Linked DNA regions of Diceros bicornis minor. Each later gene encodes a partner of the first gene's protein in a complex. Links are inferred from orthologs where the notes say so. Each region holds a gene or a part of one and is shown on either strand. Other genes may lie near its edges.

The links.
Region 2: USP39 (region 1) and SART1 share a complex: the UniProt entries of both Homo sapiens proteins name them as parts of the U4/U6-U5 tri-snRNP complex. The link is inferred for Diceros bicornis minor from reciprocal best matches to the Homo sapiens genes USP39 and SART1.
Region 3: USP39 (region 1) and LSM3 share a complex: the UniProt entries of both Homo sapiens proteins name them as parts of the U4/U6-U5 tri-snRNP complex. The link is inferred for Diceros bicornis minor from reciprocal best matches to the Homo sapiens genes USP39 and LSM3.
Region 4: USP39 (region 1) and PRPF4 share a complex: the UniProt entries of both Homo sapiens proteins name them as parts of the U4/U6-U5 tri-snRNP complex. The link is inferred for Diceros bicornis minor from reciprocal best matches to the Homo sapiens genes USP39 and PRPF4.

What each region holds. Positions count from the first base shown.
Region 1 is NC_080751.1:4,384,680-4,392,116, reverse strand, and holds the start of USP39 (U4/U6.U5 tri-snRNP-associated protein 2), read left to right. Parts: upstream 1-4,419; 5' UTR 4,420-4,450; coding exon 4,451-4,718; intron 4,719-7,437. Other genes in the region: C12H2orf68 (UPF0561 protein C2orf68 homolog), read right to left, coding at 821-943, 1,310-1,461, 2,384-2,502, 2,580-2,686.
Region 2 is NC_080770.1:7,333,586-7,340,686, reverse strand, and holds the start of SART1 (U4/U6.U5 tri-snRNP-associated protein 1), read left to right. Parts: upstream 1-4,092; 5' UTR 4,093-4,156; coding exon 4,157-4,481; intron 4,482-6,352; coding exon 6,353-6,410; intron 6,411-6,811; coding exon 6,812-6,867; intron 6,868-7,101. UniProt on the Homo sapiens protein: Plays a role in mRNA splicing as a component of the U4/U6-U5 tri-snRNP, one of the building blocks of the spliceosome. May also bind to DNA.
Region 3 is NC_080741.1:88,655,357-88,662,519, reverse strand, and holds the start of LSM3 (U6 snRNA-associated Sm-like protein LSm3), read left to right. Parts: upstream 1-4,145; 5' UTR 4,146-4,208; coding exon 4,209-4,229; intron 4,230-6,679; coding exon 6,680-6,790; intron 6,791-7,163. Other genes in the region: XPC (DNA repair protein complementing XP-C cells), read right to left, coding at 3,827-3,929. UniProt on the Homo sapiens protein: Plays a role in pre-mRNA splicing as component of the U4/U6-U5 tri-snRNP complex that is involved in spliceosome assembly, and as component of the precatalytic spliceosome (spliceosome B complex).
Region 4 is NC_080767.1:21,524,096-21,531,565, forward strand, and holds the start of PRPF4 (U4/U6 small nuclear ribonucleoprotein Prp4), read left to right. Parts: upstream 1-4,457; 5' UTR 4,458-4,538; coding exon 4,539-4,586; intron 4,587-4,611; exon of another isoform or gene 4,612-4,681; coding exon of another isoform or gene 4,682-4,708; intron 4,709-5,437; coding exon 5,438-5,618; intron 5,619-7,316; coding exon 7,317-7,470. Other genes in the region: anaphase-promoting complex subunit CDC26, read right to left, coding at 1,584-1,664. UniProt on the Homo sapiens protein: Plays a role in pre-mRNA splicing as component of the U4/U6-U5 tri-snRNP complex that is involved in spliceosome assembly, and as component of the precatalytic spliceosome (spliceosome B complex).

The DNA.
Region 1 (7,437 bases):
TTCACAACTAGGGATGAGGTTAAAAGCTGGAGTTCTGTAGCCCTAACCAAGGCAGGTTTTGCTGTAAGAAATCTGGCATCATCTTCCTAGGTCTCCTTATTTGGACAGGGCACAGCAGTTCAGCATGAGAAAAACTTGCAAAAGCCATGGAAGGGGAGGGAGACATGCTTGCAAGTACGCCTCAAAAATGAAGCTCTCCCACTTGATTGGTATCAGAATTAGTGGGAGAGCTTGTGAGAAAGGTAGATTCCCAGAACCCCCCACCTCCAAAGTCCTGAGTGGCTGGAGGTACACAGTCATATTGGGAAGTGGGGGGTGGGGTGGAACTGATGGATTCTGAGACAAAAAGAGGAGGGAAAGGAAAGAACAAAGAAACAGAGCTGAAAAAAAGATCTAGGGAAACATAGAAGTGAGCAGAAGCACAGAAGAAAGAAGCCATAAAATAAACATGGCTTGGGGAGCCGCGTGGAGCAGCAGCGGCCAGGTGTTCCACGGCATATGACCTCACTGAGAAAGCAGCATGTTGGCACAATGCTCCATAAAACTCAGCTCTCCCTGGAATCTCTGCTTCCAGAACACCAAGCTAGCCAAAGAGAATTCTCAAAAAATTCCAGAATTATTAGGCTGGTCAAATGGGCCAACATACAAGAATAGCTACAAGGGAGGTGGCCAGGCATAGTCCCTGCAACACCCTTTTCCTGTGGATGTGGCAGCTCTGAGGGGGTCTCAAGATCAGCCCAGACTGGTCCTGGTACCCCCCAAACTAGGGGTGAGCTCCCTGGGCAGTGAATCCAGCCTGGAGAGAATGCCTTCAGCCTGGTCAGTGTCGGCTCTGGCGCTTTGCAATCTCCTCCTGGACGCGCAACTTGAGGGCCTCTCGCATGGGTGGATCCAGAGGCGTGTGTGTTGATACCTCCTCACTCACCCTTTCTGGATCATCGTCCTACGTGGAGGAAGAGTCAGGAAGCTCAGGGCCCGGCCTCTTCTGGAAAGGCGACCTACCCTGTCCCTAGAGAACACTCTCAGAGAATTTCCTTTGACTCACGGCTTCTTGCCAGTGCCTGTCATTTCCCAGGTGTCCCCTGTAATAGTGACTCTCATCTGGGGGCCAAGAGCCCTACCTGTTGCCCACTGAGAATCACTGTGTGATGGGAGTGAGTTGTGCTCAAAAGCATCGCCCAGCAGTCTCTGCTCCCTTGTGGAGCAGACACTTCCCACTGGCACTGAGGAAAACAGTGGCTCAGGGTCTGGCAGTGATTTCTACCACGGGCCAGGACCTTCAGGCTGCAGCTGTTTCCATGAGGCATACCTGATACACGATAACTGAGGTGACCTCTCCGCTGTCTGCCTCATACTCTAAGCAGAAGAGCTGATGGCCAGAAGGCTCTGGCTCGGAGCCGCCACTACTGCTGCTTTCACCGGACTCCTCACAGTCTGGGTTGCTTGGGTGGGTAGAAACATCTGGAAGGATGAACCAGAGTGAGAGGGAAGAGGGGAAAGCTGCTGGAGTCCTTGCCCACAGAGATGACAGGAAAACATAAAGCCCCAATCCTCTTACAGACCCGTGTGTGTGTGTGTGTGTGTGTGTGTGTGTGTGTGAGTGAGTGAGAGAGAGAGAAGTGTGCCACCAATCAGGAGTTTTATTGACCTTTGTATCCTTGCTCCTGGGCCAGCACAGTCAGTAGGGACACAATGCACATTTGTCTAGTGAATACAGTTGGCAAGTAGTGGAGAAGTGGATAGAGCTCTGCCTGCGTTCAAATCCAGGCTCTGCCATTTACTAGCTCTGAGATCTTGGGCAAATTACATAACCTTTCTGTGCCTGTTTCCTAACTGTGAAATAGAAAATGTAACAGTTTCCATTTTATGGGGTCCTATGAAAACTAAGTGATCAACGTCCATAAGCTCTAAAAGCACTTTTAAGTAACGCTCAACAAGTTTAGCGCCATGTGATAACTACTGTGATCTCCTAGGTTGCAGGGAAGCTGGGGAGAAAGGCCATTTACGGGGTTTGGGCTTCATTCCACAATTATGTCCTGGTCGCTTACAACTATGCCAGGCTTCCTCTCTGTGAGGTAGTGGGAATACGGAAATATAGTCATGGTGGGGCAAACCGGCAGACACACAACTTCTTGCCGGCTTCCCGTTGTGTCCTATAACAATGACGCTTAAGTGGGGGCCATAAACCTTCCCTGTTCTGCGGAGAGCATCACTGAGCGGAGACTGAGGAGCGTCGAGGTGTTCCCGGGAAGGGACGAGACGAACTGAGCCTCGGGGAATAAGAAGCGGTTTTTCCCTCTAGAGAAGGGAGTGCGTCGGGGCAGAGAGCCCGGGCCGGCAGAGCGCGCGGGCTTGCGCAGGCAGGCGGGGCGGGCGGCCTCACCTCGGCGTCGCGGCAGGTACACCTGCAGGTCGGGCTTGCGGGGCCGCGTCGGCGCGGGCGTGTGCCGCCTCCTCGCCTTCTCCTTGGCCGCCTGCTTCACCTTCTTGTCGTAGTCGTCCCTGCGGGGAGCCGGGCGGGAGTCAGGGACGGCCGGGCCGGGCCAGGCTGGGGGCGGCGGCGCGGGGCGGGGCGGTACCGGGCGAGCTGGTTCCTTCGGATATGGTGCACGAAGCCGTGACTCATGTCCAGCCGCCCTCCAGGCTTGCAGCAGAGCCGCGGCCCGGGATCCGGCACCGCTTCCATCTGGAGGCCAGGGCACAGAGCCGCCGCCGCCGCCGCCGCCGCCGCCGCCGCCGCCGCAACGGCCCCAACGGCCGCCGTCCCGCCGGAAGAGGCGGCGCAGCCCCTCGCTCGGTTCTCGACCCCGCGCCCTGACGTCCCGCCCGGAAAGGGCCGGCCCAGCCCAGCGTCCCCGCGCGCTGAGTTCCGGGCGCGGATCGGCGGATGGGGCATGCGCGACTTCAGCTCACCGGTGGGGCTTTGCTTTGCTTTTCTTTGTGACATTTATCAACGGGAGACAAGGATTTAGGCTGATACATCAAAAATTCAGAAAAATATAAAGCACACATTGCATACTCAGCGTTCGTCGTGGAGCCTTCTCGTTCTTTTTCTGGTGATAGGGTGCTGTGAAACTCCATCACCAGCTCCGTGACCTCGGCTGACTATTGAACCCCACTGTGCCTCAGTTTCTTCATTTGTAAATGGGGACACTGAGAGCATCTACCTCAAAAGAGGTTGTGAGGAGGCGAGTGCTTGGGCAGGGCACACAGCGGCGCCCCGGCCGCACAGCCCCGCGAAGGCTCTCTGGGCCCAGTCCCGGCCCACCCCGGGGCCCCGCGCTGTCGGCGGCGGGGACGCCCCTCCCAGCACGCCCAGCGCCCGAGCACTGGCAGGTCCCGCCGCCCAGACCGCCTCGGGGCCCACCGGACCTACGTCTTAACGGTCCCCGCGGGAGGACCCAGGGCTTTTCAGGGTCTGAGCGGGTGCGATTTTCGAGTCCTCTGTTAAAAAAGACAAAATTAGGAATTCGTGATTAGAACAGGGACAAACTAGTACATCCACACGGAGGACTATCGCTGAGCAATCAAAAGGAACCAGCTGTTGATAACACTCAATAAAGTGGATGAATCTCACATATGCCGAGTGAAAGAGGTCAGGCAAAAAAGAGGGCACGCTGTGTGTGCTTCCATTTAGAGAAAACTCTAGGAAATGCAAACTAATCTGTAGCGACAAAGCAGATCAATGGTCGGGGCAGGAGGACACTTTTGGGTCTGGTGGATAGGTTCATACCTGGATCGTGGCCATGGTTTCAGAGTGTATCCATCCATCCACCCATCAGTATTTAGCAAATTGCACACTTTAAACGTGCAGTGTATTGTATGCCAATTACACCTCAGTAGAATTGTACAAAGTAGTTCAGGGCCGTGGAAGGGGTCGTGAAAGTAACAGGCCCTGAGATTTGAGCTTTGTTAGCTTCATGGTTAAGTCCTGCTCTGCCCGACGTTTGCATTTTTCTGTGATACGGAGAACAACCCTCCAAATGTGGAATTAGAGCCTCTGGGTTGCTGCATGAAGGGGATAATTTGGGGATGTCGCCTAGTTCTCCCCTGGAAAGGGTCAGTCTCCGAGGCGCAGAGACTGTGGAGACGATCTCTCAATTCTGGTTTCGGGGCACAAGTGATCTTGAAGAAATCTGGGGCCCATGACAGCTTCTTTTATCCAGAAATTCTGCAGCCAGTAAAAGGTTCTTGCCTCTTTAAGCTGGAAATTATGGGTAAGGTGGCAATAAGAACGACTGGCCCATAAGTCGTTCTCAGGTGCGCACACAGCTTCAAAAAGGCCACAAGGGGCGCAGTACTTCCCAGAAATTTCCTGCGACATAATTTGTCCCCATCGGCGACTCGTAGAGAGCCTTGGTCTCGATAACAGCGCCGCTCCTGATTGGCCGCGTGCCGCGCACTCGAGCGTGCCTGGCGCCGGCGCTGGGCTGGTCGGCGGGTGGTGGCGATGTCTGGCCGCTCCAAGCGGGAGTCTCGTGGTTCCACCCGCGGGAAGCGGGAGTCTGAGTCGCGGGGCAGCTCGGGTCGTGTCAAGCGGGAGCGAGATCGGGAGCGGGAGACCGAAGCGCCGAGCTCCCGGGGCAGCCCGGTGCGCGTGAAGCGGGAGGTCGAGCCGGTGAGCGCGCGCGAGGCCCCGGCGCCCGTCGTCCCGGCGGTGCGGGTGAAGCGGGAGCGCGAGGCCGACGAGGACTCAGAGCCGGAGCGGGAGGTGCGAGGTGCGCGGGGCCGGGCCGGGCGCGGGCTCCACGTCTCGTTCTTCTTATTCTCTTTACAGCTTCCCTCCCCGGGGGGGGTCACACTCCAGTGTCCGCGTCCCGACTCCACTGCGTTTTAGTGAGGCTAGTACTAGTTTTAATAATAACCGTAATTTGATACTTTTAGCAACAAAAATAACGGTAGCAGCTTCTCTTTATTGAATGCCTAACTCGGGCCAGGCGCTGTGCTACTTATGTTACAGGTGTTACCTTTTTCAGTTTTTACAAAACATCTGGGAGTGAGTCCTGCTGTAATTTCCGGAATTAGATCAGAGTCGAGAGCCTGAACGCTGGCACCTGCAACATACTGCCCCGTTATCCGGGGCTGTAGTAGCCAGGAGATCTGGATTCTGGTCCTGCCACTGAGGCTGAGTCACTGTGGTTTGGGAACGTGGGTTTCACCTATCTGTCCGTCTGTAAATTAGTGCAAGTAGTCCTGGAACCTTTGACCTTTGAGAGCCCTTCTAAGAATGGCCAGTAAGGCTGTCACTCCCCTCCGTGACTGCATCCTTTGCTTCCTTCCTGGGTTTTTTCTGCTTCTGGTAATTTCTAGAGACCTCTTTGCCCAGCCTTGGTTCCCTGTCTGTAGTGTATGCTTTTCCAACTTGTTGATATCTTACCAATCATTAAGTAGGTTTCCACCAGTTCTGAAGCTTTTTCTGTTTATACCAATTACATCTTTTCCTTCTCTGAACTTGGAACTCCTGACTTGAACGTGTTCCTAGATACTTGCTTTTTGGTGGATTAGCAAGAGCTTATTGAAGTAGCAGGTGAGTGTGTCACTGGGCTACCTGCTGGGGGCAGGGTTTGTGGAGGGAGGGGTCCTCATTCTCCAAGACTTTATAATTCTGCCTCTGGTCCTGGTTACTTGTATATGATTATACTCTTATATTAGCTCTTAAGTTTCTTGCTCAGGGTCTTGTGTTTGACATATTTTTGTATTACACTCAGGGTCCAGAATAGCACCTTGCTCATAGAACGTACTTGATAAATATTTTTGAATAATCTAGTTGATAATTTCAGGGTATTCTCTGATTTCCTTTACTTAAATACTCTGCAGCCTCAGTTTTCCCTTTCTTTGGTAGAGAAATTGTTTCTTAGATATTTTGCATAGTTTTGGTAAGGATTGTTTTCTTTGGGACACCCTAGGATCCCAGTTGCTGTTACTGTCTTGTCTTGTTTTTTTCCTTTTATTTCTATTGTGAAATAGATCGCAGGTACTAAGATATACTGAATGTGATAATGTATAAGTACAGTTTAAAGAAGAGAGTGGATGTACATCTAACACTTGTCAAGAATTGTGAAGGATCTGAGATTTTACCCGGTGTGAAACTACCAAGTTAGCTTGCCACAGTGTCGTGGATGCTGATGTAAGACATGGGACTATTGGGTCTGAGACAGTTTATTGCAGCAATAACCAGAATAGCATTGGTGTCAGTTTCCCGAGTTAGTTCCCACAGTACAACATGAAGAGAACCATACACACCATGGGTGGCCTTACAGGAGAGGAACTCTGAACTTAGAGAACCTGAATCTTTTATAATGGGCTGTGAGTTTGCCTCTCGTTTGCTCTGTAGGAAGACACTATCTCTGTCTTCCAAGGCTGTTCACTATACAGACATCCTTGACAAGATAGTCTGGAGACAGTCAGTGCCTCTGGTCACAATATGTACAGAAACATGGGAAACCCATGGAGAATTGCCTCCTAACACTGTTCAGCCTAAGAAGTGGTACAGAGTCAGTACCTTAGAAGCTCCCATAGGCCCCTTGCCAGTTGTGCTTGCCTTCCTTCCTTGCTTAGGTAATCACTGTTCTGAATTTTTTTCTAATCATTTCTACTTTTAGTTATAGTTTTATTTCATATATGTATCCTTAAGTTACACTGTTTTATTTTGTATTTGATATAAATGGAGTCGTATTGTATGTAGTCTTCTGATTTGCCTTTTTTTTTTTAACTAGGCATATTTGTGAGGTTCATCCAGGTGGATATTCATGGCTACATAGTGTTCCATTAATACACCAAAATCTATTTCTCCATTTTATTTGTGGCAGACATTTGGGTTGTTTCCAGTTTGGGCCCTTTCACATATTGCTGCTATAAATATTTTTTAGTAAAGCACTCTTGGTGCACATGTGCAAAAATTTCTCTAGGGTATGTAAATAGAAGAGAGCTTGCTGGGTCAGAGGGTCTGCATATTTTCAGCTTTGATTCTGCTGTACTATTTTCCAAGTTTATACTCCCACCAGCTGTACATGAGCATTCTCATTGCTCCACATATTCACTTGGAATTTTCTGATTTCTTTTTCCCTCTCTGGTAGGTGTGAAGTGGTACATCACTGTGCAAGGAAATTTGCATTTTCTTGAATATTGATGAGGTTGAGCATCTTTGTGGGCTGTATTCATCATTTTCTATTGGACTGTTTGTCTTTTTCTTATTGCTTCACCAGATTTATTTATGTAATCTGCAAATGAATCCTTTGTTGGTTATATGTGTTTCACATATATTCTTAGAGTTTGTGGCTTGTTCTATTGGTGGGCTTTTTTTTTGGTGTTGCCAGGCCACCTTTATAGGAGCTCATCTTGATTAGTTTTTCCCACTTCTACGTTTCTTTGTTTGTACTAGTAGTTGACCCTGAGTGTGAGTTTCACATTTTCACAGCCTGTGATGATTTTCCTTTC
Region 2 (7,101 bases), on another chromosome or scaffold:
CCTGACCCTCTCTGAGACGCCTGTGCCCAGCTGACTTTTCCCATCCCTCTTTTTTCCCCTCTCACCCCCCAAGAAGCCTGCTGCAGGCCTGGGAGCGGCAGCAGCGGGAGGAGCGGCGGCAGGCTGAGCTGCGGAGGGCCCGGGAGCAGCAGGTTCAGCAGCAGGTGGCTCGCTGCCTGGCAGCCTACGCGCCCAGAGGGAGCCGGGGGCCAGGGGCTGCCCAGCACAAGCTGGAGGAGCTGAGGTAGGAGGCCAGGGCTGCGGAGGGCCCGGTGGGGAGAGGGCAGGGAGGCAGTGTGAGGTGTCAGACAAGGACCAAGGAGACCCAGCCCTCCCCTTCCCTCAGGGCTGAAACTCCACGGCCACCCTCCCGCCCAGGCAGGCGGGCCACACTCTACAGATGAAGACACTAAGCCATGGGAGGAGAAGGGGCCGGGCCAAGGTCACCCAGTTAATAATAACAAGCCCTGCAGCTGTGGAACGCTCAGGTTAAAATGTTCTACCTGCATTATTACACTTTCAAGTCTTGTTTTTCCGATTTCAAATGCCAGACATGCTTACTACAAAAGTTCAAATATTACCAAAATTGTTCTTGTACAATGGGAACAGCGCCTGTGATCCCACTCCTGGAGACGACCACTGTTGATGGTCAGTGAAGAGTCATCAGTGTTCTTCTCTTCCTATAGTTTGACCATGAAAAAAAAAAAGGTGGGGGGCCGGCCCAGTGGCGTAGTGGTTAACTTTGCGCGCTCCGCTTCGGCAGCCGGGGGTTCGCAGGCTCGGATTCTGGACACAGACCTACACACTGCTCATCAAGCCATGCTGTGGTGGCGTCCTTCCCTGGCACATAACCAAGGGTCCACAGCAAGGCAGTGTTTTTCCATGGGGCCCAGCATACTTGCTGGAGGTCCCAGCACGAGTCTCGGATTCTTGCCTGCTGCTCTCCTGTCCTGTGTGTGGGTGCTGCCACCACGCCCCTCGGCTTCTCTTATGTGCTTCACAGAAGGATGCCTGGTCCGGAGCACGGTGTGGCCAGAGGGCCCCTCTTGCTGCCAGGATGCTCAGCTTTTTGAGCAGACACATTTGTGACAAGCGCACAAACTGGGTTTTTGTAAATGGATTTGTGCTTCCCCAGTGGAACCCTGATCTTTCTGGGATGTGCTCTTTTCATTTGCAACACATTTCTTTAGTTCTTCTGTCCCAACTGCTAAGCTGTCTGCTTATCAGAACCACAGAGGATGCTGGCAAGCTTGTCCAGTCCCTGCTATGGCACAGACAAGAAAACTGAGCCCAGAGCCCAGAGTGGGGCCTTGCCCAAGGCCACAGCATCCTCCTCGCAGGTGCAGTGTGAAAGGGTGCAGGGGTGTGGACACGGGGAGAGGAGAGGCTGTGCAAGCAGATGCCCAGTTGCTCAGAAGCCAGTGATGGCCCCTCTCCCTTGGGGGTGGCTGCAAGGCTGGGGGAGCCCTGGCTGCACAGCCTGCAGACTTGGGCTCAGGACTCAGTCTCTCACTTCCCAGCTGTGCAACCTTGGACAGGTTCCTCAACCCTCCTGAGCCTCAGGTGCATCAAGGGTAAAATGGGTCAAATAACTCCTGCCCCACTGACCTCAGAAGGAATCCAGGGTGAGGATGGGAATGAAATGGCTTTGCAAAGGCAACGGCCAGAGAACATAAACATAAAGTCCTTAGTGAGGACGAGTGGGCTCAGGAGTGGGGATGGCTGTGTCCACGGTTAGCTGCCCAGAGGCCTGTCTCCCTGCAGGCGCCAGGAGCGACAGCGCTTTGCTGAGTACCAGGCAGAGTTGCAGGGCATCCAGCACAGGGTGCAGGCCCGGCCCTACCTGTTCCAGCAGGCCATGCAGGTGAGGGCTGGCACAGGGCTTCTCCCAGGCTGAGTGGGTAGGAAGCAAGGTGGGAGTGGGCCCCCTTAGATGGGACCCCTGGCTGCTGCCCATCTGGAAGCCCTGGGACGCCCTCAGTACCCAGAGCCCCACTGTGTCCTCGGCAGCCCTGGTGCAGAGCAGGAACCCCTCCTCTCTCTCCTCAGGCCAACGCCCGGCTCACTGTGGCCCGGCGCTTCTCCCAGGTGCTGTCGGCACTGGGACTGGATGAGGAGCAGCTGCTGGTGGAGGCGGGAAAGGGGGACAAGGAGGGGACCTCCAGGAAACCCAGGTGAGACCGTCTAGCTGACCAAGGAACCGGCTCTGCCCAGCTGCGGGGAGAAGAGGCGCCATCACCAGCCCTCTGAACTCTGTCTCCCTGCCCTGGGGAAAGGCAGAGGGACTCCGTGGGAAGCCACATTGATCCACCCTTAATCTAAGCTTCAGTCCTGCCCCATCTACTCCCAGGTCTGGAGGACTAGTTCTAGCAGTCAGCAGGGTCTTCCCCAGGCCCTGTCCTCCATGTCGCCTGAGGAAGACAGGGCCAGGGTTATTTTCCCCACTTCCCAGTGAGGAAACTAAGCACCTGAAGGGCAGGGTCTTGCCCAAGGTCACAGGAGCAAATAAGCAGCAGAGCCAGTCTGGGAACCTGTGGCCATCTGAGTGGCCACACACCAAGGCCCCATGATGGGCTAGTGCCACTCCAGTCACCCCAGGTATACTGTCCCTTATGCTTTAGAAGAACCTAGTGCAGAGCAGGGATTATGAGGCCCAATTCACAATAAGGAAACTAAGGCTCAAGGAGAGGAAGTCACTGGCTCAGGGTCACATAGCATAGGAGCCAGATTTGAACCCACATCATCAGTGACAATGGCCTTTCCCCTCCTATAGCCCAGGTCTCCTTGGGCATGAGGGTGGCGAACTGCAGAGCGCAGTGACCTCTATCTGTGTCTTCATCTTTAAGGAGACACAGGTCAACAGGGGTGAGAATGGAGCACTCTTCTCAGAGCCCCCCAAGGACAGAACCCACCGGCAGCCAGCCTGACAGGCACTCCACCCAAGCCCAGACCAGAAGTCCAGTCCCTGAGAAAAATTAAACGCTTTATGGAAAATACAGCGTGAGACTTCCAGTGGTGGTGGGAAGAGGCTGCGGGTTGGGAGTAGCAGGCGGTAGGTGGGTAGGCAGCCGGCTTAGCTTGTTCTCGCATCCCCCAGGAGCTCCCGCTGTTCTGGCTGCCCCCTCCCAGCACACACAGCCCCGCCTCTGCTCCTGAGGAGGGGGGCGTCTCAAAGAGCAACAGCTGCGACTCCTCCACCCCCAGTCGCCAGCATACATGTTGGGTTCTAGAAATTCAAGAGCGAGTAAGACAGAATGGCCTCTGCCTTTGGCGACTCCCAGTCCGGTGGGGGAGGGGGCGGACCTTTAAAGGGGCACAGGCATCACACCGTAACAGATGGACTGCACAGGGACCGCCAGATCTAGCAACTGTGGGGTGTGGGTGTCAGGAGGAACCGTGTGAGCTGGGTTTTTAATGTTAAATAACTTCAAGTTAGAGCCCCTCTTCTCAAGAAATACACACACACACACACACACAGATGCGCCAAATTTTGCACTCAATTTCAGGGGGTTCACCAACACACAGAAGCTCATCTGGAGCTCCTTAGCAGTTCACGGGGCGCAGGTTAAAAACCCAATCCAGGGAACGTGGGCAGGCAGGGTCTGCTGCCAATACTGGTTGTAGGGGCTCGGAGGCCGGGCTGTGGGTCTCAGGAGGAGAACATGCTGCGTCGTCCAACGCTGGATGGAGCCACGACCCCAGGGAGTAGTCCACTAGGAGGACGCCTACTGGAGCGGCGGGCGCTGTCCACGGAAAGTCTGTGAGGCAGTGAGCGTCCCGTGGCTGGGGGTGTGCAAGCGGAGGGAAGCCGGGGAGGGGCTTCCAGCTCCGGGGACGCTGACTGAGACAGCCTGTAGGTCCTTCAAGTTCTGGGATCCGGTCTTCTCCAGACCGGGTCCGCGAACATAGAAGAGCGCACGCGCCAGGGGACCACAGGCTCCATGACCGCCCGCCCGCCCGAGGCGGCCGCGAATGCGCAGTCGGGCGCCGATCCTGGCCCTCCCATGAGCCTTTGGGGCAGGCTCCGAGGGGAACAACGGAAGCAGCCGCTCTTGGTTTCCGGCAACACGACAGCGGCTGCCGGGCGACCCGGAAGTGTTCCCATTTTGCGTCGTCTGGGCTCGGCGGTGGCCGGGCTCGGGACGGACATACCACCATGGGGTCGTCAAAGAAGCATCGCGGGGAGAAGGAGGGGGCTGGGACGACGGCGGCGGCCAGCACCGGGGGCGCCACCGAGCAGCCGCCGCGGCACCGAGAGCACAAAAAACACAAGCACCGGGGCGGCGGCGGCGGCGGCGGCAGCAGCGGCGGCGGCGGCGAACGACGGAAGCGGAGCCGGGAGCGTGGGGGCGAGCGCGGGGGCGGGCGGCGCGGGGCCGAAGCCGAGGCCCGCAGTGGCACTCACGGGCGGGAGCGCAGCCAGGCCGAGCCCTCCGAGCGGCGCGTGAAGCGGGAGAAGCGCGATGACGGCTACGAAGCCGGTGAGGGGCGGGGCCTGCGCGGGGGCGGGGCGGAGGTCCCGGGTGGGCTCGCCCAGCCTTCAGGCCGAGGCACCCCCCAGGCTGTTTTTCTCAGCGCTTAGTCTTGTTACGGTTATTTGAGATTAAAGGTTGTCTTCGTTTGTTACGCTCTGTGAGCACAGAGATTTTCTGTTTTTCGCAATTGGTACATCAAGGGCCTTCAGTAAATGTGCAGAGTGAATGAATGAACGGATGAAGTGGTAGTAGCCTGTGCAGAGGCAAGAGAAAACCTGGTATTGGGCGAATCCTGTAGGGCTCACGATAGAGACGGGAGGCTGTAAGATAGGCAGGGATCGGAACACGAAGGGTGCCGTAGGCCCTGTTCCGAAATTCGAACTTTGTCCTGAGAGTAGTAGGGAGCCATGGATTTGAGTCGAGGAACGAGTCCATCATATTTTGCAAAGATCACTGCATTGAGACCTAGATCGAGGGTAGACAAGACTGGAGGTCAGGTGAGGGCTGATGGTGGCCTGCACCAAGGCAGCAGCAATGGGATGGAGAGATGTGGACAAATTGAAGAGGTGTTTTGGAGGAGGAATTAACACGCTTGGGTGAGGGTGGCAAGGAGAAGAAGAAATGGAGGATGGCTCCTTGAATTTTGGCTTGAGCAGCTAGGTGGGTGCTGGTGTCATCTACAGATGTTGAGGAGTTTGAAAGAGAAGCAGACTTTGCAGGGAAGATAATGAATTCAGTTTTGGAGAGTGTTGTGTTTGATGTGTGTGAAGAAACCCAGGGTTTGGCCTGGATAGAGCAGTTTGGGTGTCATGAGTAGTTAGGTGTCAAATAAAGTTCACTAAAAGATTGACGAGTGAGAAGCCAGGGTCAGGAGTGGAGTCTACAAAACACCAATATTTTAGTAGTAGGTGGAGCAAGATACTACAAGAAGGGAGGTGGAGTAGCCAAAAAGGCAGGAAAAGCATAGAACCCGGTGTCATGGGATCTGTGGGAACAGAGCATTGTTAGAAGTGAGTGATCAACAGTGTCACACACCACAAGAGATCAAGCAAAACCAGAGCTGCAAAGAATCCATTGGATTTAGAAATAAAGAGTCTGGTGACCTTGGAGAGAGCCCGGAGGGGTTGGGATGGATCCAGGGTCCGGGTGGGATAAAAGGGGAGGAGGTAGGTTGCAGGGATGCAGAAAGGGTGAGCACATGGTGGCAGCTGGTTGGGGTAGCTTCATCTGAGGGTGTCTAGCTTCTGTCTGTGGTGCTCAGTGAAGTTGTTTGCTGTTTATGAGCTGGGTGGAGGAGGTCCGAAATGCTTTTTTTGTCTCTCTGTCCCCAACGTCCCGCACAGAGCAGGCACCAGTAAGTGTGTTTCTTGACTGTGTGAATTGCACGGAGGATTCAGTCATGCTGTCAGCGTGGTCCCTGCCCTGTGGGGAGAAACAGACCCAGGAGCAACTGACGGCGCTGTGGAGTTCAGGGAAGAGCAGTTCATTCTGATCAATAATTCAGCAGGACCTTACGAAGGAGGTGGCATTTGATCTTTGCGTTTGGATAGGAATTTGTCAATCAGAGTGAGGCCAGGGAGGGCAGTGCAGGTTGAAAACACAGAATATACAAAAGTGGAGAGGTGGCGGAGTGAGGGATGCAGAAAGTTGGACCTTTAGGGTTGGGAAAGGAAGGTACGTAGAAGAGGCAGAGTTCTCAGACACTGGGACTCAAGTAGTGGGAGTTACTGGGGTGAAAGAAGGCTGCTGTTTCCTGGTGTCTCAGCAAGGCCCGCGTGCTGGTGAGGGGCCCTCATCTTCAGCCCTGCAGCTGGAGCGGAGGAAGTGGCTTCTTTGCCCTGTGTTCAGCTCCTGAGCCGTGCTCCTTGTTGTTCCAGCTGCCAGCTCCAAAACCAGCTCGGGAGATGCTTCGTCACTCAGCATCGAGGAGACCAAGTAAGTGCTGTCTCCTTTTTGTTTCTCGTTTTTTTTTTCTGAGACAGGTGGCTCCTGGGGCAGTTGCTTGGGGAGGCTCTCACACACTAAAGCGTTCTGATTGGAATGGGAAGGGCTGTAGAAATCATCTTAGCCAACCATTTGAGTTACAGAAGAGGACACTAAGCCCCAAGAGGAAGGATGGCATTCCACTGGTTAGGGGCAGCCGGGCTTAGCGCCGGTGTGCCCTGATTTGGAGGCCAGTGCCCTTCCCAATGCCCTGGGCTGCCTGGGTCAGGCGCTGTGTTTGGGACCCTTAGGACCACCCACTCCCATCCTGTTTTCACCCTCTGTCTGTCCAGAAATGCATTTGGTGCCCCCATTTGTTTGACAGCTTCTAACAGTTGTACTCTTGTCTTCAGTAAGCTCCGGGCCAAGTTGGGGCTGAAACCCTTGGAGGTCAATGCCGTCAAGAAGGGTGAGTGTGGGGCTGAGGATGGGGGTGGGGGGCATCTGAAGACAGTGGGGTTAGAGTCCAGGTTCAGCCCAGTTAGTGGTCGTGTGTGTGTATGTGTGTGCTTGCTGATAGGCGTGAGGCCCCTCCTTGCTGTCGTAATGGGGATCTGGGACTCAGGTTCTTCTGTAAGTTTGAACAGTTGGCACTGCATCCTTACGCTGGCTGTGAGGCAGCGTTAGGTGGAGTGAGAGATGC
Region 3 (7,163 bases), on another chromosome or scaffold:
GGAGAAATTTTGAAAAACAAAATATTTCAAAATTACTTATTTAGAATCTGGGGAACAGATTTCTTATTCCAAGACCGGAAGCTGCTTAAAGGTTTGACTAGACGGTTTGAGTAGTGTGCCCTTAAAATCAGGATTTCTGGATCTTACAATGGTCTTTACTCTCTATTAATAAGCAAAGATGCTAATACTTCATTTTTACTAATCTAAAAACCCAAGTGGGAGGATACTTCACAGACACTGTTTCTTCCTCACCAAACTGATCTGATTGGTTATAAGGCACAGCTGTATATTTCTGTGCTTTGAAGAGAGAGGTAGAGGAGTTAAAGGGGGGGGAATTGGAAACAAAAAACTGTGAATCAAAAAAAATCATTCATATTCATAATATCCAAAAGTTTAAAAACTAATGTGAATAACCAATCATGAGATAATCATTAATTATGGTACAGTCACACGATGAAATATAATTCAGTCATCTTTTAGACAAAGAAAAATGATATATGATAAAATATTAGGCAGGCAAAGTTATTTTTACAGGGAGTTTCTACTGCATAAAAAAACACAGACTAGAAGGAAATATACCATTGTTTAGTGGTGGTTATTTCTGGATGGTAGAAATATGGATGACTTTGTTTTTTCCTTTATCCTTTGCTGTGTTTTTTTGGTCCTAGAGAATCCAGAGGCTATTTTCCAGGACTCAAAGGTCTGGAGTTATCTCATCTGTCTAACCAGCCTCCCTGAGCTCAACATGGTTATTTCAGCAGGACAGGAATTACCACTGTGGCTGGCTTGGTCATCAATTGAGATTTAATAAGAATACCTGCTTAAACCTTCCAGTGGCATCTCACAGCACTTAGAATAAGATACATACTCCTTAGCTTGTTCTCCAAGCTAAGGGCCCCAACAACCTCTCTCACCTCAATTCCTACCACTCGCCCCCTCACTCACTGTGTCCAGCCAAATGGCGAAGCTCACCCCCCCCCCCGAAACTCTTGAAACTTACTGTTCCCTCTGCCTTTTCCCCCACAACTTCCTAAGAATGGCTCCATCGGGGCATTCAGTAATTGGCTCAAAATGTCACCTCCTTGCAGAGGCCTTCCCTGACGACTGATTCTGACTTAGCTGCTTCTTCCCCACCCCCATGCCCATTTTATTACAGCAACTGTTTTATTTTCTTCATAGCTCTTATCACCATGTGAATTTATTTTTTAACGTCTTATTGTCTGCCCTACCTACTCCTCCCCAAAGATTATAAGCATCATGAGAGCAGGGACCTTGCCTGTTCTGTTCACTACCATAACTTCAGTACCTAGAACAGTGCCTGGGAACAGTGGGCGCTCAATAAATATTTGTTGAAGGAATTAATGAATTACATCAATGAAGGCATTAACACAGAGAAGAAATATGAAGAAACTAGAGGTGCCCTAATAGAAACAAGGAAATAATGTGGAAGAAATGTTTTCTTTGTCCCTAACTGCTGAAAGCAGCCACGCATCACCTTCATTTGCATGCCCCGAGGTGCTGCTAGAACTTACACTCAATGATCACCAAATCAGTGTCACCTGCAGCCCAAACCACGCCTGCTCCTCCCCTCAACCACAGCAAAGATTGCAACTCTTCCCGGAAGCTGCCTTGGGAACTTACTGCTAGCTCCGCTGGCTGGCAGTTTCAGTGAAGCTTGGGGGCATCCTTAACTATATTTAGGCTGAATTGTTACGAGCTAACCCGAATGATTATGTAACATGGACCGTGCCAGGAGCCTTATATGCTCTTACTGAAAACTCACAACCACCCTGCAAGATAGTAGTATGTTCACAGACAAGGTTCAGAAAAGCTGTGTTATTTGTCCAAAATAATTTACCTAAGTGCATATAACTACCAAGCATTGGAGCTACACCAAACTGGTGCCCAAGTGAAGTGTTTTAGCTGGGAGGAATGCTTTTAATTTTTGAATTGCCACATATTCAGAACGCATTCCCTCTGACTAGAATACAACCCCCTCTCACGACCATTTGCTGAATATTACCCATCCTAAATCCCAGATCACACATAACTCCTCCAGAGAGCACACCTCAGTCTCTCCAGTCAAACTTGATTATTCCTTCAGAAGCCACAAAGCCTTGCACCTTCTCCAATATCAGACCCTGCGTACTCTGCCTTGGATATTTTTTGTAAATGTCAACACTACTATATTCTAAGCTCCTCCATGAAATCTCTCCCCCATGTCACCTAGCCCATGTACAGCACACAGTAGGTACTCAGAAAATGTTATCTGAATGAGTAAATGAATGAATAAAATGGAACTCATTGTGAGGTAAATCACCTTCTAAGTTTAAAAATTGTTACCATTTGACTATTTCCTAATGGACGACGAACTTATATACAGAATCACAGAACTGTTGAATCTAGTGTCTGAGTCCTTGCTGGTTACCTAACCTTCTACCCAGTTATCTCAGGAAGCCCAGAAATCCTTTCCACAGCATGCACTTTGCAATTATTTAAAATATTTATTGAGCACTTAGTATATGGGGAGAGTGACAAGATAAGATACTGCAAAAAATAAGACATGCTTTCATGAAGCTTAAAGTCTGGTAAGACAGGCAATCAAAAGGAAGCAAATAAATTAAGAAGATCATTACAGACGGTGACAGGGGCGTTGAGGGCCTGTGTGATAGGGAGTATCCCGGGAAGACCACCTTAGAAAGGACGCTCAAGGAGTGTCTGAATTGACACCTAAAGGAATAGAAGAAATCAGGCACAGTAAAGCCATGAAGAACATTCTAAGCAGAAGGAACATCAAAGGCAAAGGCTTGAGGTGAGAAATAACATGGCATGTTTGAGGAACAGAAAGGAGGCCACCAATGAGAGTATCTGGCAAAGAAGAGTGGTAGGAGACAACAGGAGCCGTAGCAGCAGCCATATCATGTAGGGTCTTGTAATCCATGGTGAGGAATTTGGATTTCACACCAAGAGCAACGGGAAGCCACAAAGGGTTTGAAGTAGGAGCATGGCATGATCTGATTTTTTTTTTTTAAAGATGGTTTGGGCTGCTGAGTGGAGAACTACTGCAGAGGAATGAAAAGAAGTAGGGAGACCAGTAAAGAGGTGACCGCAGTCCTTCAACTGAGAAGTGACAGTAGCTTGGACAAAGGCTGTGGCCACGGAAATAAAGAGAAGTGGAGAGAGTGGAGATCTAGTTCAGAGGTTTGACTGACAGGACTCGCTGACTGACAGGATGTGTGCGTGTAAGGAAAACCAGGGGTCTGCTTTTACAAGCAGGTGAAGGCATCATTTACTGAGATGGGAAAAGGCGGGGAAGGAACAGGCTTACAGGGGAAAAAATCAAGAGTTTTGCTTTGCCCATGACAAATATAAGACGTCTATTGGATATCCACGTGGAGGAGTCAGTCAGGTTGGATCCGAATCTGGAACTCTGGGGTGAGACTTAGCTGAAGATATTCTGGGAGTCAGCACACTACTGCACTCTACGTCCTGGTCCATCCGTCTTCTGGGGACACAAAATAACTGCACTGCCTTTCCCCTGTTCAGCCCTCGGCATCCGCCAGGAGGCCGGACTTTGTCCTGTGGGCAACAGGGAGCAGGAAAGAGGCTACGCAGGGCAGCTCCCATGGGGTCGGGCTCCAGGGGAGCCGCTGAGGGCGCATCACTCCTCGTGGGGAGGACCTGGGCGGCGCCTGCCTCCCTTGGCCCCGGTAACGCGGTCTCCTCGGCCCCCCACCTCCAGGAGCCGGCCTCCCCGCTCCCCGACCCGGGCCTGTCTCCCGCCCTCGGGCATCCCCCTCTAAGCCCGGCTCAGCCTCGCTCTCACCCGCCTCCTTCTCCTCACGCCGGGCCACGCTCTTCCCTTTGGCTTTCTGGCCCCGCAGCCCGCGTCGCCGCGGGCCCCCGCCAGCTGCGCGCTTTCGAGCCATGCTGCCCGGGCAACACTAGCTGCTCGCGTGACGCACCACCCCGCGGGAAGCTGCCCCTGGCTGCGCCAGGCGTAGCCACGCCCCTTCCTCACAGGGCAAGCCTCCGCCCCCAGAGGAAGCTCCGCCCCAGCCCCAAAAGACCAAGGCGAACAGCGGGAAGCAAGGAGGTGCAAAACAGATTTCTTTGCACTTCCGGTGCATTGCGTCCTCGCGTTTCCGGAGACAGGAGGGAGCTCGCGTGCTCTCGCGAGAGGCAAGGAAGGGCGCAGGGTTTGAAACATGGCGGACGACGTGGACCAGGTGAGTGTCTTCTAGGGAGCTCGCTCCGGAGCGGCTTCTCCTCTCCCAGCCCTGGCCCTGCTCGGCTTTGCGTACCACGGTTGCTTTCTCGAAGCTCACGGGAAGGTGGCCGATCGTGCCGCCTCTTTCCAGGTCACCATGGCCTTAATCGGCCCGTTGCTAACCGCGCCCCCTGCGACTTTTGCTTCAAGCCCTGAGATCTTTTCTAGTTCGAAGCCCGCCTGAAAACTAGTTATTCCTCCCGTTCGTCGCTCCCTTTGTCTTCATTCTGACCTTTATCTGTAGAATGGGAATAATTACTCCTGCTTGCCTCGCGGAGCTGTCGGGATTCTGATACAAAGCGTGATAGTAAGGAGTTATCGTTATCGAGCGCAACCGTTATTACTCATTCAGCAAATACGTAGTGAACATCAGCGTTTGCTTAGACACCGTTCTAAGCCCCAAGGACGCCGGCATTGACATGCGTGACCCTTGTCCCCACTTGGGCTTATATTCTGGGGGAGGATAGATGAAAGGTAAACATAAATATATGCGTTATGTAGGCACTGTGATGTGGTATGGAGGACACAAACAAGGAACTGGTGTAGAGAGTAACTGATGGTCCCACAGGCTTTCTCACCTGCTCTTCCTTCTTCCCAAAATGCTCTTCCTCAGGTGTCTTTGTGGATCAGGCCACAGCTTCTTCAGCTTTCTAGTGAAACCTCACCTCATTGAAGAGGGCTTCTCTGGCCACCTACATAAAATAGCATTAGGCCCAGTCTGCTTTATTTTTCTTCATAGCGTGTTATCTGTTCATATTAAGTGTATGTGTCTTTGTTTGATGTCTCTCTCCCTCCGCTAAAATGTGAGTTCCTTAAGAGCAAGAATTTTGTTTTATTCACTATTCTGTTCTCAGGTTTTACTTTTTTGTGTGTGTGTGTGAGGAGATTAGCCCTGTGCTGACGTCTGCCAATCCTCCTCTTTTCTTGCTGAGGAAGACTGGCCCTGGGCTAACATCCATACTCATATTCCTCCGCTTTGTATGGGACGCCGCCGCAGCATGGCCTGACAAGCAGTGCATCAGTGCGCGCCCGGGATCCGAACCGGCGAACCCCGGGCCGCTGCAGCAGAGCGCGTGCACTTAACCGCTTGCACCACTTGGCAGGCCCCTGTTCTCAGGTTTTAGAACAGTGCTGGAAACATTCGAATACTTATTGAGTGAATGAATTGAATGATTAGGGAGGCCTCTTTGAAAAGGCAGTATTTAAAGCTACAGGATGAAAAGTGTGGACCGTGGGCATCCCAGACTGAGGCTAAAGGAGCCGTAGGGCTCTGTCATGAGTATATTCTTACAATATTATAATTGTCTATTTATTTGCCTCTCCCCACTAAAATGAGCAGGGACTGACTGCTGTGTCATTGTAATCCAGTAGTTGGTTAGCTGCCCATTAACAAACGCCTGTTGAACTGGGGTGGGGCCCAATTGAGGTCAGGATTGCTTTTTTTCTCATCTAACCTTTTAAGGCTGTAGAGCCTGCAGTGTTGGGTCACTTTCCTCCCCTGGCCTCATGTACTCCCTGAAGAAGCTCAGTAATCTCGTCAACTCTCCTGGCTTCTCCCTTCTGTATGGATGACCCCAAGTCATCCTAGCCCTGATCTTTCTGAGACCTGTTTCCAACAGTTCTTTAATAGTAATAACCTGAACCATTTATAAGTACTTTCTGTTTGCCAGGTACTGTTTTAAATACGTTAATTAAATACATTAGCTCATTTATTCCTCACAAGAATCATGAAAGGAAAATTATGGCTTCTTCATTTTGCACACAAGGAACCTGAGAATTAGAGGTGGCATGATTTTTTATCTCAATTCATATAAGTGTCAGAGTCAGTAGTTGAGCTCACACTGCCTGACTCCAAAGCTAGTACTTTCAACCAGTATTCTCTACTTCCTGCTAAATATATGCATCTTACCAGCCACTCAGCACCCTAGACTCAACCTGCCCTGTACTGACCTCGTGGTCTCCCTCAAACCTTCCTCACTGCTTGGCGTTCTGACTAGTGTGTGGTAGTCATTAAGTGAATGTTTTTCAAATTACTAAATGATATTTGAGACAGGGCTAAAGTCCCTGAGAGTGACTCACTATACCCTGAAATTGGGTCAGGCAGTTTGGATTTTGAGGGAACAAAGTACAGCCGTGATAACTTTGCTGTGTAACTCCTTCCTGTGGATGTATGTTTTGGCTCTCGTTTATATAACACTTACTATGTGCCAGGCTTTGTTCTAAGGCTTCATATATGTCATTTAAGGCTCACAACAGCAGTGTTAGGTAGGCATTATTGTCATCCACAGTTTACAGATAAGAGACTGAGGCATAGAGAGGTTAAGTAACTTGCCCACAGTCACAGCATAGCAATGATTCAAACACTACGCTCTTTCTAGTACTGTATCATAAGCCTGTTTCTTTTATCAGCAACAAACTACCAACACCGTAGAAGAGCCCCTGGATCTCATCAGGCTCAGCCTGGATGAGCGAATTTATGTGAAAATGAGAAATGACAGAGAGCTTCGAGGCAGATTACATGTAAGTAAATTTATTAAATTACGTGGTGGTAGATTACATGTAAGTAAATTTATTAAATTACCTGGAAATCAGATTATTTCCTCTTCATCCCTCCCTACCCTCACCCGCTTGAAATGTAAAAACTGTCCACTGTGGAAGAGTATTTAGTGTGTAGATGAGATGGAGGTAGAAAGTCACCCATATTTCTACAAGCCAAATACAGCTATAATTTATTCATATTTTTAACGTGTTTTCTCTTAACAGAAATGTTTATTAAAGAACATATTCATTTCTTTCATTTTTTCACTTCTGTTTATTTTTAAATAACATTTGTTTGTCCTCCATTCTTATTTAAATGTTTTTTAAATTACTGACATATACATAAATTTGTGTT
Region 4 (7,470 bases), on another chromosome or scaffold:
GCGTCCCATATAAAGTAGAGGAAGATGGGCACGGATGTTAGCCCAGGGCCAATCTTCCTCAGCAAAAAAGAGGAGGATTGGCAACAGATGTTAGCTCAGGGCTAATCTTCCTCAGGAAAAAAAAAACATATCAAGCTCCTACTATTTACAAGATGCTGGGAACTAAGTGGTAAAGAAGACAGACATGATTTCCACCATCAAGGTTCCTAATGTAATTGGTTTTACAATAAACAAACAAATCATTGTAAATTATAATAAATGCCATGAAATAAAAGAATAAAGTGCTGTGAGAGACCCTAATGAGATGGAGGCAGCATGGATAGGATTGATACAGCTAACTAAGATAGGCTCAGAAGAGGCCTGTCAGACTAAGGAAATGACATTTAAACTGAGACATGAAGAGAGGGGGAGCACTAAAGGCAGAAGGAAATAATATGTGCAGAGGCCACAGGTAATGAATAGTTTGGCATCTTGAAGGAAATGAAAGCAAGCCAGTGTGCCTGGGGTACAGAGGGCAAGGCAGAGTGGCAGGAGGTGAAACCTGAGAAGGGCCGGAACAAACACATCTTGTAGGCCATGATAAGGAATTCAGATTTTATTCTAAGTGCAGAAAACCACTGAAGAGTTTTAAGGAGAGGGATGACATGATCTGAAAATTTTTAAAGATCATTCTAGATACCTGATGGAGAATGGATTGAAGAGACAAAAATGGAAGCAGAAAGACCATTTTTAGGATGCTACTGAAATTGTACAGAGAGATGATGGTTACTTGGACTAGGGTTGTGCAGTGGAGATGAAAACATGGGTAAATTCTGGAAATATTCTGGAGGTAAAATCAAAGATTTATGGACAGATTGAATACAAAGGGGGAGGAAAAGGGGGACTCAGGTTTCTGGCTTGAGCAACTGCCCAGAGACTGAGATGGGGAACACTGAGGTGAAACTGGTTTGAGGAAGAAATCAAAGAGTTTTTTGTTTTAACATGTTAAGTGTAGTAGGCTGAATAATGACCCCCAAAGCTATCAGGTCCTAAGCCCTGGAACCTGAAAATGTTGCCTTATATGGGAAAAGGGACTATACACATGTGATTAAATTAGGGATCTTGAGGTGGGGGCGTTATCCTGGATTATCTGTGTGGGCCCTAAATGCCATTACATATATCCTTATTAGAGGGGCAGTGGGACACAGACAGAGGAGAAGGCAATGTGATCAGGGAGGCAGAGATTGGAGTGATGCAGCCACGAGTCAAGGAATGCTAGCGGCCACCAGAAGCTAGAAGGGTCGAGGAACGGATTCTCCCCTAGAGACTGCAGGGAGCACAGTCCTGCTGACACCTTGATTTTGGACCAGTGATACTGATTTCACATTTCCGGCCTACAGAACTGTGAAAGAATAAATTTCTGTTGTTTGAAACCACCAAGTGTGTAGTAATTTGTTACGGCAGCCACAGGAAACTAATACATTAAGTTTGAGAGGCTGTAAAGCGTCCAAATAGAGATTTCAAATAAGCTGCTGGTACAAGAGTCTGGAGTTCAAAAGTTGGAGTTTTAAATATTCCTAAGGGTTTGAAAGTTGTGCTCTTACCTCCAGGTCCTTTCGAATGCTCTCAAACTCCTCAATGTCATCAAGCTTCAGCTCCAGGCGGGTTGGTTTTCGTCGCAGCATGTTGAAATCAACATCAAAGGCCAGACCCAGTGAACTATTAGCTGTTAAAAAGGCAGAGAGAAGGAAAAACTGGAGGGGATAAATCTCAGCTGCAAATGTAAGATCAGTTTGTACGCATGCTTGCTAAAATGAATGGCAATAAAAAAGATTCATTTGGGGCCGGCCTGGTGGCGTAGCCCTTGAGTGCGAATGCTCTGCTGCGGCAGCCCGGGGTTCGGACCCGGGCCACACCGACGCACCGCTTGTCAAGCCATGCGGTGGCGGCGTCCCATATAAAGTAGAGGAACATGGGCATGGACATTAGCCCAGGGCCAGTCTTCCTCAGCAAAAAGAGGAGGATTGGCAGATGTTAGCTCAGGGCTGATCTTCCTCACAAAAAAAAAAAAAGATTCATTTGGATTCACACATAGACTTCTAAGACTTTTGGTGTATGATTATTACATTTTTATTACATGATTGAGATCCACAACTTTGTAATTCCAAAAAACTCTTTCTTCAAGAACTTAAAACGCCAAACTACCTATAAAAGAGAATTCTAGGTAACAATCACTTTAATCTCATGCTCCTGTCACATTCAGAGAAATATTCTAGCTAAGAGAATAAAGTTAAAAGATCACATCTTAATTCAGTATAGTCAGTGGGAGAGTATATAAGCCATTAAATTTGATCAACACTACATGAGAATTGTGAGAGATTTGTGATCACCCCCAAATGCTAAAATAAATTTACTAAATCTCACGAAAACTCCCTCTAACTCACCAATTCACAGAGTTGTCCTAAGGATCTAATTAGGTCCTAAATGGATATGTCATTCATTAAACAAACAATTCTTGTGCTCCAGCTACAGAGTTAAAAGGCACAGTCACAGTCAGTGGGGAAAACAAACACATAAACAGAAAATTGCAACACAGTGTAATAAAACTCTGGCAAGGGTAACGCAATGGCACCAAACAGGCACCAATCCAGTCTGGGCTGAGTGTGAGATGGACAGGAATGTGGAGGGCTTCCTGGAAGAGATGATGTCTTAGTTGACTGGTTAAGGACAGACAGAGTAAAGAGATTAAGGGCATTCCAGGCAGAGAGAACAAATACGCAAAGAGGCTCAAGAGAACCCTCCAGAGCTTGAAAACCCTAGGTAATGCTTATGCTAACAAAAAACATTTTTTTGAGAAGAAAATAAAACTCCCCAACTGAGTTTAAAATCTGTGGATTGCATCTTCATATTCTCCACAGCATCCAGTAGAGTGTATCTATAATCACCAGTCAGTAAACGTTTTGTTGAATAAACTGAGATCCAATTAAAGTGAAATGAACTTTTCTTCAGCACTGTGCTATGCTTTTCCATTCCCATTCTTTACATTTTTATTTTAACATAGAAACTGTGACACCAACAAAATTACCCCTATTTTACAGATGACGTCGAAGCTGTTCAGTTTGGTTAATAAATGTCAGCCTCCTATAAAAATTATACATACGTTCCACGGTGAGGATTGATGTAAGATGATTGATGTAACTGACTAATGTAATGAGAATGATGTAAGTGAAAGCTCCTTTAAAGTTTTTACAGACATAAATTATTATTACATGTATCCAGGATGTATCAAGGACTGTGAAATATACAAAGGAAGAAATGTTTCCTTCTCCCACGAAGCTTAGGTGATATTATCAGATAAATACAGGTGATATTATCAACCCAAAACACCAGCACATTACATTTCAAATTGCTTTACATTAAATCAGATAATATCTTGATTCCAGTGTAGGCAAGTGGTAGAGGGAGCCAAAGTTCGAGGGGGGCGGTGGGAGCGGTGGATGCGTAAAAGAAAGAAAAAACTGCTTTGCATTTTAACTCTTCGGCAAACTGTGAAAAATTCTATGAAGCAATATAGAGTAATGGGTACAAGTGCTCTCTAGAGGCAAAAGGGCAGAGGGCAGAGGTTCTAATCCCATCCACCACTTATCACAAACAATTAGCTTCATCCTTCACTGGATTTTAGTTTCTGTAACCGTACTCTGTTGTTGTATGGATTCAATGACGTAATGCAAAGTAAGTTCCAGGAACATAACTTGGCATTTAGTAAACGCTCAATAAATAACAGCCATTATTATTGTAATTGTCCTTGGGCGTAGGGGCGGGGAGGGGCTCTGTCAGCTCGGGAAACACCAACATTTTAAGCATCTCCACCCTCGCCATGGGGGCAAAAGCCTCGTCTTGTTCATCTCTGATGCCCCAGCACGCAGCGGAAGGCAGGGCCATGCAGAGTTGCTTGCGTGCAGATTACCTGACGCCTCACATCCATCATCTCACTCTGAATCTGATACAAAGACTGGGCTGAAGACAAACAACAAAATCAGGCCCTGGCTCCTCCGCCGGGTCTTTATTCTACTTTGGAGCTAGAGTGCTCTTCGAGCTGTTTCTCTCGCCACTGCTCGAATTCATCCAGCTCAGAGGGAGCCCCTGGCAGAGGACTTCCCGACAGCGGAGAACGAGCACAGCTCTCCTTCCGCAGCTCCAGGGCAGCACCCGGGGTCCAGGGTGACGGTTTCCATGGCAACAGGGACCTCCGCTCCAGGATGACGTAAAGCCGCGCGTCGGGCCGGGAGGGACCGCAGGCCCCGGAAGCCCTAGATTCGCTCCCGAGTTCAGCCCGGAGCCGCGCGCCTCGACGCACCTACCTCTTTTCAAGGCTGCTCAGCCCCTTCCCAGAACCTCGGCGCCCACTACGACTCTTCTGCCAGGCCAGCTGGACTACACTTCCCAGACTACTCTCAACCTCTCTCCTCGCAGAACCTCGTCCTCCGCGTGCTTTCCTCGGAGGACTACAAGCCACGCCTCTCGACGCGCCCAGAATCTGTCCTACTACGACTCCCGTCATGCTCCACGCCGCCCACGATGCTGCGCCGGCTGTCGGCCCACTTCCGGTAGGTGACGCAGTTCCGCTTTGCTGGGCGCGCGGTGGACGGTCTGAAACGTAGAGGTCGAGTTTCGCTGGGGCTTCGCGGCTCCAGAGCTCGGCATGGCTTCCTCACGAGCCTCCTCCACGGTACAGAGCTCAGCTCACTCTGGCAGGGAGCGCCGAGGGGTGGGGAGTCCAGCGGGATGGGGCCGTTAGGGAACGGGCTAGGCGGTGGAGGTGTGAGGAGGAGCAGCGTGTTCCCGATCCCTCAGCGCTTTCATGCGCTTTAGCTTATTTGCATCACTCGCTACACCCGCGAACGGTAAATATCTCTTCCCACGGGTCCAAAAACGCAGCTCTGAAAGGGAGGACGTAGTGCCTTGGCCGAGATGTATGTCCGTGTCAGACCTCTTAATTGTAATGAGGCCTTCTTTCTTCCTATCTACAGCCTGACGTCTGAAAACGTTTGAAGTGTATAGACCAGCATCTTTGTAACTTGTTTCCCCCTTACATCGCCTTGGCTATTTCAGTTATCCTTGATATTTCCCCTGTGATGAGCAATAACCCTGGAAGTGTCGTAAAACCGCAGAAGACATTGCACTTCCAACAGAATGAAGTAAACGTGTTTAAAAGCAAACCTTTGATAGGAAAATCACCAAGAGAAATGCACGAGTATCCTCAACTTCTTCCTGTCTGCAAAACTTAAGTGATTGAGAAACACCCCCCTCAATCAGTGAAAACGCATCTTAAGGTGTCCAACTTGTCGTTTCCGTTCGGGAAGAAATAGGACTGACGCTCAGGATGAGCCTCATCCTTTGGGGAAGGCCGGTAAATTGCTAAGGTGAAGCCTTAGGTTAATCCAGGTCTTTGATTTAGCAGGCGACCAAAACTAAGGCACCTGATGACTTAGTCGCTCCTGTTGTGAAGAAGCCACACATCTATTATGGAAGTTTGGAAGAGAAGGAGAGGGAGCGTCTGGCCAAAGGAGAGTCTGGGATTTTGGGAAAAGAAGGACTTAAAGCAGGAATTGAAGCAGGAAATATTAACATAACCTCTGGTAAGATGCAAATTGTGAGTCCATGTTTACCTTTGGTGCTCAACTTTTCTGTAATGAATACCTTCCTAAACTTAGATATCACTAGTTTTATAGTGTCATAAAATTGCAGTTTTAAACTTGCATCTGTGTAAGGTTTTACTTTGCCTACCCCGCTTATCATCATCCAGAACGCCTTTTTCTTAAAACCTTTTATACAGTTTTTCTTCCGTGAATTGTTAGTAATTTTGTCAGGAGTTTATTCAGCGTGTATTTGGCTTCAAAGTGATTCCGTTTGTCTTCTGGAGATCTAGCATAGTTCTGGCATTGGTTTGGAGCTACTGTCGTTCATAATATTCTCCGTTTTTTTAGTTTTGCAATTACTTTTCCCTCAAAATGAAATGTTTTTTAAATTATATAAGTAATAGTTATTTTTATTTTGAAAAATATCAAACAATGTAGAATTGTGAAGTATAAAATCCTGTAATGCTTATTAATTGGGTGTATATCTTTCTGAGAATTTAATAAAGCTATGAAAATGTATAATTTTTTTCCATAAATGAAACCATGATATACAAATAGTTTTGTAACTTGTATTTTATACTCTATGTACTATTGAGGATATCTTTCCATGTCAGTAACTGGTGGCCTACTGTATTTTTAAAATAAAATTATACATGTTTGTCATAAATTCAGACAGTACAGAATGGTATAAAATGAAAAGATTTCTTTGCAGAAAGGATCTCTTTCAGGTTTCTCATTGATCCTCCTACACATTTTCTTTTCTATACACATGCACTTTACAGACATTTTTAACCATTTATGCTGTTTTTAAACATAACTGCATCACCGCTGTTCTTCTCATTTTTCATCCAAATGCTTGTATTTGGTGTGAGTTTTAAAACTAGCTGCTAGAGGGGCCGGCCCCGTGACTTAGCGGTTAAGTGCTCGCGCTCCGCTACTGACGGCCCGCATTCAGATCTCGGGTGCGCACCGACGCACTGCTTGTCCAGCCATGCTGAGGCAGCGTCACACATGCAGCAACTAGAAGGATGTGCAAGTATGACATACAACTGTCTACTGGGGCTTTGGGGAGAAAAAGGGAGAAAAAGGAGGGGGAATGGCGATAGGTGTTAGCTCAGGACCAGTCTTCCTCAGCAAAAAAGAGGAGGATTGGCGTGGATGTTAGCTCAGGGCTGATCTTCCTCACAAAAAAAAAAAAAAAAAACCAGCTGCTAGATTATCCAAAAAGCCTTCGAGTCAAGGAATATCATTTTCATGGTAATTCTTTCTAGTTTACTAGTTTCATTTGTAAGTGTCCCGATACTGGGACTGTTTTAGAGAATAGCTTTGGCAATTGTTAAAACCGCATTTCTATTTTATCTTCTGGATAGAAGAGCCATTTAACTCATTTGCTAAAGATGCTCCGTACTCTTTCTCATCTCATGTAAGCTGTGTGTTTATATGGGTGTAAGGTTGCCAAATCAAACAACATGACTTGAACCATTTTCCTGCCTCTTAAAGCTGTATCATTTAATTTTCTGTGTTTGGCATAATTTAATAAACTGAGAAAGAGTAAACTATATCTATAAAGTGCTTAATAGATTAGACAGTTGACTTTCCCTAGTAGCATACACAGACTCTAATTGTGAGAAATTATTTCTTTTCCTCTATTTGAAGAAGATCTGGTGATTATGCTGATGTTTCCTGTTCTTTTTATAGGAGAAGTGTTTGAAATTGAAGAGCACATCAGTGAGCGACAGGCTGAAGTATTAGCCGAGTTTGAGAGAAGGAAGCGAGCCCGGCAAATCAACGTTTCCACAGATGACTCGGAGGTCAAGGCTTGCCTTCGGGCCTTGGGGGAGCCCATCACGCT